Saccharomyces cerevisiae S288C: one gene and its partner. The gene in region 1 interacts genetically with each later gene. Each region holds a gene or a part of one and is shown in the gene's direction. Other genes may lie near its edges.

Region 1 (5,877 bases):
TTCAACGAGTCTACAATGACTATCTTGTTTTTAGATAGATCTCTTTTCACTGCGGAGATGATCTCCGACCTCAATTTTCTTTCATCTTGGGAAGTTATATAATCTGAATGTTTTATGCCTAAAGATTCATCTGAATGATAGGTTATGGAATATTTACTTAATGATGGGGTTGCATCGATCTTGGACTGTAGTAGTTGTACCAAATGTTTAGCAAGCGTTGTCTTACCACTACATGGGTATCCCGTAAAAAGCACCAGTGGCATCTTCTTACTAAATTGCCTGTTTAGTTTTTTCAAAAGTTTTACAAGGTCCCTTTACCCTCATTCTGATACGTTATTGTTCAAGTTTCACCTGTTCATCAAGTATTCTTCATTTCTTTTTCCATCGCGATGACGATGACAAAACGGCAAAAAGTCAAAGAAAAAGAAAAAAAAAGATTTTTTTTCCATCATATGCAGAGAGAATATGTCCAAGCCAAGCGCAGTGTGCATGTATGCTGTTTTTAGCATATCGGGTGTGCGAAAGGAATGACATAATGATTTGCAACTAATATTTCCTTATATAAATATGCTTCTGGATATGAGTCTCATGAAACAAGTTCAGTAATTGCTTGTTTTACCCTTACTTTTTTCTTGGTTATGACTTGTGTACATAATAAATTGCCTATTTTCCCAAATTGTGTCCTTTTTCCTTTCCGGTTGGTATGAGATATTTCTTTTCAAAAATCAAAAGAAAACAACAAAGGGTTGATATTATGTAATGCAATACCTAGAATCGGGAAAAACTTGTTTGTCGTACCAAGAGAGGCAGCACTGGCGTGCCTTGATTTAATATAACTCCTGAGATAGTGGGGGTTACATGAGTTGTACAGCATAAGACTCCCTCTCCCCAGTTCTGTTCGTATATGTCGGGCTTGCTTGCGAAAGCAAGGGGTTCAATAAACAGAAAACAGAGTTTTTGGATAAAGTTTAAACAACGGAAACAGAGCAACAATGAAGGAGAGAATAAGTATCAATTGTGTAATTCTGTATACCGTAGTGCACAGTACGCTGTGCGCAACTCTTGCCTAAAAAATCTAGTTATCAAGCGGGGTGAATATGCTACAATGCCTCTTTTACGTTGTACTCTATCAAGGGATGATAGCAGTGGCACATATTGATTGATACGACTTTTCGCCGCGCGGTAGGCGAAAAGCAAAGAAAACTACAGTAATATCCAGAAATAGATGCATTTTATGTGCGAAATAAAACTCATGCTGAAAAAAATAGTAATAATTAATAGGGTAACGAATAGAATGCAAACCTTATCACGTGAAAGAGAGAACAATCATAAATGATTTAGTGCGTAGGTCCAGATTTGCGAAACACTGCGGAAGGCGAGAAAAGAATTCGAATATGAAGTAGGTAGAAGCAGAGGTAGGGCCGCTATTTAAAGATATACTTTTTCTGTACGGGCCGGTGACTTCGCAGTAGTGATGTACTATGAGATCACTATTTTGCCGGAAACTGTAGGCAAAAACCGTTTATGTCTTTTTTTCACCTTACGGGATAACCTCTGCTGAGAATTTCCAAAACTAGGCATGGATGATTGCCGGAATTTGAAACCCGGGCCCCGGAGGTTGATCGCACGGCAAATACATAAGAACCTTCTCCGCAATACGGGCTTTCCTCAATTTTCTTGGCCAAAAAGCGAGTCGGCCCCGAGCTACAAATCGGGAACAACGGAGGAATAGAGCGACAAGTTGATTCGGTCGTGCAGCCCGGAAAAAAAAGGCTGTCCTGCGGGCTTTATTCACTCCAATGCCGCTGAGAGGAACACGCGTTTCGTGGGCTTTGGACCACTACCCCGGCGTTCAGAGAAACCCCCCGGGGCAGGGGTCCGAAGTCTAAAAGTTTAATCCGGAAGTAGCGACGGGGGGGAAGCCCGCCGCGCACAGATGGCCAGCACAACGGAGCGGGGCCGAGGCGGCAAACGAGGTTAAGCCCGCTGAACCTGAAAAAAAAAACGAAAATTTTCTTTCATCAAGGACTAAAGTTTTCTTATGTTACGGATCTTGCACGCGGTAAGCAATGGCCGTAGCCTTTTCACAGTTGCTTCCAAGTGTCATGTATCGATTTTGCAGATTGTTCTAAAAGTAAATGGATTGCTATTTTCTTTCCGAGACTACTCTAAAAAAATTTATTGAGTATGAGATCGTTTTTAGATAAATTATATATATTGTAAAGCTATTAACTAATCTCCTATATCAATTTCTTCTTGCTTAACCCCGTGTGGTTGTTTAGGTCCATCTCCTTTTTCCTTTTAATTTTTTTACCTTTATTAATTCCTTCACCTCTCTAAACCCCAGTTTTATATCGTATATGCTATCTACAGGTCCACTTTACACTTAATAATATAAAAATACTACTATAAAGGAACCAGAAAAATAAAAAAGGGTCATTATTTATTTGAGCAGATCATTATCAAACGCATAGGAAGAGAAAAAACACAGTTTTATTTTTTTTCCACACATATTTATTGGTCTCCTAGTACATCAAAGAGCATTTTAATGGGTTGCTGATTTGTTTTACCTACATTTTCTAGTACAAAAAAAAAACAAAAAAAGAATCATGACCGCAAAGACTTTTCTACTACAGGCCTCCGCTAGTCGCCCTCGTAGTAACCATTTTAAAAATGAGCATAATAATATTCCATTGGCGCCTGTACCGATCGCCCCAAATACCAACCATCATAACAATAGTTCGCTGGAATTCGAAAACGATGGCAGTAAAAAGAAGAAGAAGTCTAGCTTGGTGGTTAGAACTTCAAAACATTGGGTTTTGCCCCCAAGACCAAGACCTGGTAGAAGATCATCTTCTCACAACACTCTACCTGCCAACAACACCAATAATATTTTAAATGTTGGCCCTAACAGCAGGAACAGTAGTAATAATAATAATAATAATAACATCATTTCGAATAGGAAACAAGCTTCCAAAGAAAAGAGGAAAATACCAAGACATATCCAGACAATCGATGAAAAGCTAATAAACGACTCGAATTACCTCGCATTTTTGAAGTTCGATGACTTGGAAAATGAAAAGTTTCATTCTTCTGCCTCCTCCATTTCATCTCCATCTTATTCATCTCCATCTTTTTCAAGTTATAGAAATAGAAAAAAATCAGAATTCATGGACGATGAAAGCTGCACCGATGTGGAAACCATTGCTGCTCACAACAGTCTGCTAACAAAAAACCATCATATAGATTCTTCTTCAAATGTTCACGCACCACCCACGAAAAAATCAAAGTTGAACGACTTTGATTTATTGTCCTTATCTTCCACATCTTCATCGGCCACTCCGGTCCCACAGTTGACAAAAGATTTGAACATGAACCTAAATTTTCATAAGATCCCTCATAAGGCTTCATTCCCTGATTCTCCAGCAGATTTCTCTCCAGCAGATTCAGTCTCGTTGATTAGAAACCACTCCTTGCCTACTAATTTGCAAGTTAAGGACAAAATTGAGGATTTGAACGAGATTAAATTCTTTAACGATTTCGAGAAACTTGAGTTTTTCAATAAGTATGCCAAAGTCAACACGAATAACGACGTTAACGAAAATAATGATCTCTGGAATTCTTACTTACAGTCTATGGACGATACAACAGGTAAGAACAGTGGCAATTACCAACAAGTGGACAATGACGATAATATGTCTTTATTGAATCTGCCAATTTTGGAGGAAACCGTATCTTCAGGGCAAGATGATAAGGTTGAGCCAGATGAAGAAGACATTTGGAATTATTTACCAAGTTCAAGTTCACAACAAGAAGATTCATCACGTGCTTTGAAAAAAAATACTAATTCTGAGAAGGCGAACATCCAAGCAAAGAACGATGAAACCTATCTGTTTCTTCAGGATCAGGATGAAAGCGCTGATTCGCATCACCATGACGAGTTAGGTTCAGAAATCACTTTGGCTGACAATAAGTTTTCTTATTTGCCCCCAACTCTAGAAGAGTTGATGGAAGAGCAGGACTGTAACAATGGCAGATCTTTTAAAAATTTCATGTTTTCCAACGATACCGGTATTGACGGTAGTGCCGGTACTGATGACGACTACACCAAAGTTCTGAAATCCAAAAAAATTTCTACGTCGAAGTCGAACGCTAACCTTTATGACTTAAACGATAACAACAATGATGCAACTGCCACCAATGAACTTGATCAAAGCAGTTTCATCGACGACCTTGACGAAGATGTCGATTTTTTAAAGGTACAAGTATTTTGAAATAGGCATGTTGCAATAAAACGAAAACAACTAAAAATCACGAAAACAAAATGATATTATACAATAAAAAATTCTTATTATGGGTAATGATAGTATTCTTCGCCTGCTTAGGCGTCCTTTTCCTTCAACAACAAAAATTCCAAAAAAAAAAAGTAAAAAAACAAAACTTTGATTGTTTTTTAATGATGTTAATGATTTTTTTTTTCTTTCTTTATCATAAAAAAAAAGTTAAAATGAAAAACAAATATGGGTCTGGAAGGCCATTATTTTTTTTTTATTTATATACCGTTTCTGGTACTTAGTTATTTATTCTCATACATACACTATATTCAAATTACCTAAGAGCATTTTCACATATCCGTTTACTTTCATTTTTTTTTTTTTTGCTTCCTTTTTACATATCTTCCGTATATCACATCACGTTTACGCGTATGGTGAAACACGTCAAGAGAAAAATGATAAAATCAAATTTTGATTTACATCAGGCTCCACAGGACAGGGAAATCTATCTAGTGAGGCGATAACTGTAGTTCGATGTACTCATTTGAACTGGACAAATTGAAAATTGAGCTGAAAACATGGGAGCATGATTTCATTGATAAAAATAAAAGGGAACCCACAAGGGATGACATCAAGAGCCTGCGGACTGTTCGGCAGATGTATAAACAATATTCCACACTGAAGAAGAAACAATCTTTGCAACGACAAAAAGTTGACACTCAAGAGTCGGTTGAACTCCCGGCACATAAAAAAGACCACGACGAAGTCGTAGAGATAGGCCCTACTCCCCAAGTTTACGGTAAGGCGATTAGTATCTTTGACATGAATTTGTCGCCTATAAAGCCTATATACATGACATTCACAAATAATATTGATGTTAACAATGATAACTCCAAGACAATTTCTAATGAATCTTCTCCACGAAAAACTATTCTCCTAAAATCGTCGCCTGCAGATCGTACGTTAGTGGCGGAACCAATATCCAGTGTGAAACGCCAATTAAACTTTCAAATGCTAAACGCTTCTTCTACACGTACTCCGACTTCATCACCATGCAAGAATCGCAATGGGAAGTTGGTAGAAATCAAGAAATGTAGTCCAACTATTAATCCTCCACTAGAATCTGGCAAACCATCGGGGTATTATGGACCTAATTCCCCGCTAAAATTGGATGAAGAAAACATTCACCTAAACATCTCACTTAATTCAAGCACTAAACGCCGGCTTCAAATAGCATATCCATCTTTACAGAAGACTCCCTCAAAGGATCAAGCGGATATTTCAACTTCATTTAGTCCGTCTCCACTCATTAGAAGACCACTGACGAAATCCCTGATAGAATTGGCCAGGGAACATACTGAAATTGTAAAAGAATTTGGTGTCTTACAGGAAGAAGATATTGAAGAGGAAGAGGAAGGAGAAGAAGGCGAGAATGGTTACGATGAGAAAAACCACGAAGACGACTTTGGGCTAGAAGATGAACTAATTAGACCAAAAGTTGTGAAGGACATATTTCAAGAGGATGATGATAATGATGATAGCCAAGCAAGGGAAGATACCTTCATAAGAAAGAGACCCAAAAGAAGAAAGGTTATCAGAAGAT
Region 2 (3,943 bases), on another chromosome or scaffold:
ATAAATGGAAAGCTCTACTTAGGGAAATATACAGATCAATAATTCCTGGCGGGTACGCGCTGGCAATTGTTCCAGATTTAAGGATTTCAAACACATACTATACTGGAATTCTTGGCAACGCCGATGCCGAAAAAGCAAATAATTCATCAGAAGAGTTTTTGACTACAAAAGAACGGGACAAGACATTTGATGCTATGGCTATTGATGCGATAAATAAAGGCTTACATATCCATCCTACAAAACACTTAACGAGGACATTCAAGGATGTAGGGTTTACAGGCATCAAGTCCTCGGTCCTAAGTTTGAAAACTGGTGACTTCAAAACAGATATGGGCTTTTTGAATGAATTTAATTCTTTAGATATGTGGGACTACATGTTAAGGAGGCAACTACCAGATAGTAGTTGTCCTCCAAAGGATACCGACCCCACCACTCTTTTCAAAAGATATGTGGAAGAACACATAGGAAAAATCGATGACAACGCTGGCTGCTTTAGAACTTTGTATGTGGTGGCGCAAAAGCCAAAGCTGCCATATACCAAATAATTGTGCCGCCGTTCCAATTTTTTTTTAAATTGTTCAAGAATTACTTCAATTTTTACTACTGGACAAAAAGCATTATGATAAGGAGTAGTCTCCCAGTATCGTAGAACCAATTTGAAACACTTTAGCCAATATTTATTAATTTTTTTTACTTCCCATGGCATAGTACTTTGTAGGAAGATTATTTGTTCATTTACTACATTTATTACATCTATATTTATATATTCTATACCATTCATTTTTTTTTATGTTAAGCTTCTCTTGGGAATTGTTGGGGTATGAATGTTAGCAGAATGACCCAACTCTTTTTCTAGCATAACTCCTAATTTTTTATCTTCTTCAGAAACGTCACGAATTAAACTGTCCTTTTCATCACCAGAATAGTATTTTACGTCCACTTGGGAAGCCAAAGAGTGCTCTGTTTCCTGTAACGAGTCGACAGTAGCTTCGTCGATTAAAACGTATGCTATGTTAGAACCCGGGCAATCATAATTAACGTTTAGCAGAAGTCTTTCCATTATCCCTCTCAACCCTCTGGCGCCAGTTCCTTCCTTGAGAGCAAATTGAGCAACTTTCTTTAGCGCCTTTTGTGTAACACACAATCTTACCCCAAATTGCTTAAAAATATATTCATATTGATCCAATAAGGCATTTTTAGGTTCTTTTAATATATGAAATAAATCGTCTCTTTGTAGAGGCTGCAGAGCAGTTATAATTGGGACTCTGCCAATTAATTCAGGAATTAGACCAAAGCTAACTAAATCTGTGGGGGTGGTCAAGTCTAAAGCACACACTTTTTTTCCGTTATCTAATTCAACCTGCTCAAGCGTATTGCTAAATCTGAACTTCTTCGCTCTTTCTTTTTCAACTTCTTTACTATTCGATGATTCAACAGACTCTCCTGCCTTCTGTATTTTCTTCATATCTTCTATCCTTTTAACAATATGCTTATCTAAACCAACAAAAGCTCCCATAATCATGAAAAGAATATTTGAAGTGTCTACAACAAATACTTCGTCCTTCTTTGTTGTAGTTTGATTTTTTTGTCCGTCAATATCATGCTTAACAGGCCTTTTAACGGTAATTTCCACTTTATGGCCCTCAATGATTTTCAATAATGACTGTTGAACCCCTTCTCCGGACACGTCTTTAGTGCCAATGCTTGCGGCAGGCTTGGCTAGTTTATCAATCTCATCAAGAACAATAATACCTTTTTCTGCTCTCGCAACATCAAATTCAGCATTTACGAGCAATCTTTCAATGCATACTTCAACATCTTCACCTATGTAACCTGCTTGAGTCAATTGTGTACAATCTGTAATTGCAATTGGAACGTTTAATATTTTCGCCAATGTTGTTGCCAACAAAGTCTTACCAGAACCTGAGGGACCAACGACAAGGACATTACTTTTGCTTAACTCTAAATCTTCGTCAACCTCTCTACCTGCTAAATTAAACTGTCTTTGAAGATTCCTCCAACCAGCCTTTGATTCGCTGTTTCCACTGAAAATTGGTTCATCCCTATCATCCGCGATTTTCTCTCGTTCCATCAATTCTCTCTGCCTTTGTAATTCCCCTTTCTTTTGCTTGTCATTGATTCTTAAATAGTGATTATAAACTGCCACGCTTAAAACCTTCTTACCAATCTCTTGACCAACAATGTACTCATCGAGGAATTTCTTCAATGCTTTTGGAGTGGGTATATTCGATAAACGAGACTGTGCCAGTTTCCCTGATGCTGTAGCAGCATATCGACCAATTCTACTAGAATAAGCTCTAAAAAAGTTTTGGCTTGCAGATTTCAACATGAGTGTGAAATGTAATTAGAGTGCCTTGTCTTCTATGGTTTTGTTTGATGAGCCGTTTGCTTTTCTTTTTAATTTTAATATATACCACTGATGACTTATTCCCTTCTATCATCGAAAAAATATTGTCAAATTAATGTTCTCTTTTTTCAAAAAATATTAAAAAGATAAGAAAGGTACCATGTCGCAGAAAATACAGCAGCATCAGTTTCCTGATTTTTATTGTTGTTATCTACTACAATCGATTAACAAGAGGCAATCATTTTACGTTGGATCAACTCCTAACCCAGTACGACGTTTGAGGCAGCATAATGGGAAATTGGCTGTTGGAGGGGCATATCGAACCAAACGTGACGGTTCAAGGCCCTGGGAAATGATAATGATTGTGCGGGGCTTCCCAAGTAAGATAGCAGCTTTACAGTTTGAACATGCATGGCAACATGGGTACCAAACGCATTATATTGCCGAAAAAGATCGTGTTGTAAAGCATAAAGCAGGTGGAAGAACTTTACATCACAAAGTTGCATTAATGAAGTTACTTTTAAAGCATGAATTTTTTCAAAGGATGAACTTGATAGTCGAGGTTTTTAATATAAAGGCTTGGGAGGTTTGGAAACAGGACAAATTTTTTATTGAAAGAGACAGATTTCCGATTAATATACAAATAAATGAAAATGCGCTTGAAGAACCAAAGGAGAAAACTGTGGATGTTCTCATGGATCATAGTGATGAGAATTTAAAAGTGGTGGAAGCTGTATACACTAAAGTCATTGAAAATGAAAGAAACATATTCGAAACTTTCGAAAAGAAACTAACTACAGGGGTAGTGCGATGTGAAATTTGTGAGAAAGAAATTGACTACACGTCTGAAGAGCAAAATCTGAAGCCGTTTGTAGCGCTTTGCAATAATAAAGACTGTGGGTGTGTTAACCACTTGAAATGTCTTCACAGGTACTTTCTAGATGATGAACAGTTGATGGTAGGGAGAAGAAATTTGATACCTCGAGGTGGGAAATGTCCGAAATGTGATATGTTTTGCGACTGGACGACCCTAGTCAAGTTTTCGACAAGAATGAAGTTAGCTCACGGGAAGTAGGGCCTGACACAATTTTCGGTTCTTTTTTTTCTATAGATAATGGTTATATGTTATATTTACGGATATTTTTACGTTTACTTTGTAAGAAAGAGCTAAAAAGATGTAAAGATATCACTTCGTTTTTTTCCCTCAAAAAATAACTTCCCAATCTTCAGTTATGTCAAGCGATAGGTTAAGAATGGTGATCTTATTATCATTCTCATATGACGATCTAGTCGGCAATGAACTTTCTTCGCCATTTTTTTTGACTTTAATACTGTCTTTCAACGTTATGTTGTGTTGTAAATTATTCTTTGCGATAATGATTTTTTCAATATTGGTATTCCTCAAAGTATTGTGGTGAATGCCTGTCAAATTCTCGGGAATATGACTTCGAACATTTTTTAAGGTATTGTTTTCGAAAATGAACTGAGTTTCTACGTACTCACCTCTTTGGTAGCCAAAAGTTTCTCCATCATCAACATAAAGATCTCCAACGGCTCGTCCCTCGGTATCAGGGG

Evidence for each region. A genetic interaction does not mean that the proteins touch.
Region 2: mutations in HAP4 (region 1) and SLX1 together harm fitness more than expected from each alone (negative genetic interaction), as found in Saccharomyces cerevisiae (2 studies listed by BioGRID).

What each region holds. Positions count from the first base shown.
Region 1 is NC_001143.9:229,618-235,494, forward strand, and holds HAP4 (transcription factor HAP4), read left to right. Parts: upstream 1-2,609; coding exon 2,610-4,274; downstream 4,275-5,877. Other genes in the region: KTI12 (Kti12p), read right to left, coding at 1-263; SLD2 (Sld2p), read left to right, coding at 4,809-5,877.
Region 2 is NC_001134.8:672,785-676,727, forward strand, and holds SLX1 (endonuclease), read left to right. Parts: upstream 1-2,528; coding exon 2,529-3,443; downstream 3,444-3,943. Other genes in the region: YBR225W (uncharacterized protein), read left to right, coding at 1-545; MCX1 (Mcx1p), read right to left, coding at 788-2,350; glucan 1,3-alpha-glucosidase ROT2, read right to left, coding at 3,573-3,943. UniProt on the Saccharomyces cerevisiae protein: Catalytic subunit of the SLX1-SLX4 structure-specific endonuclease that resolves DNA secondary structures generated during DNA repair and recombination.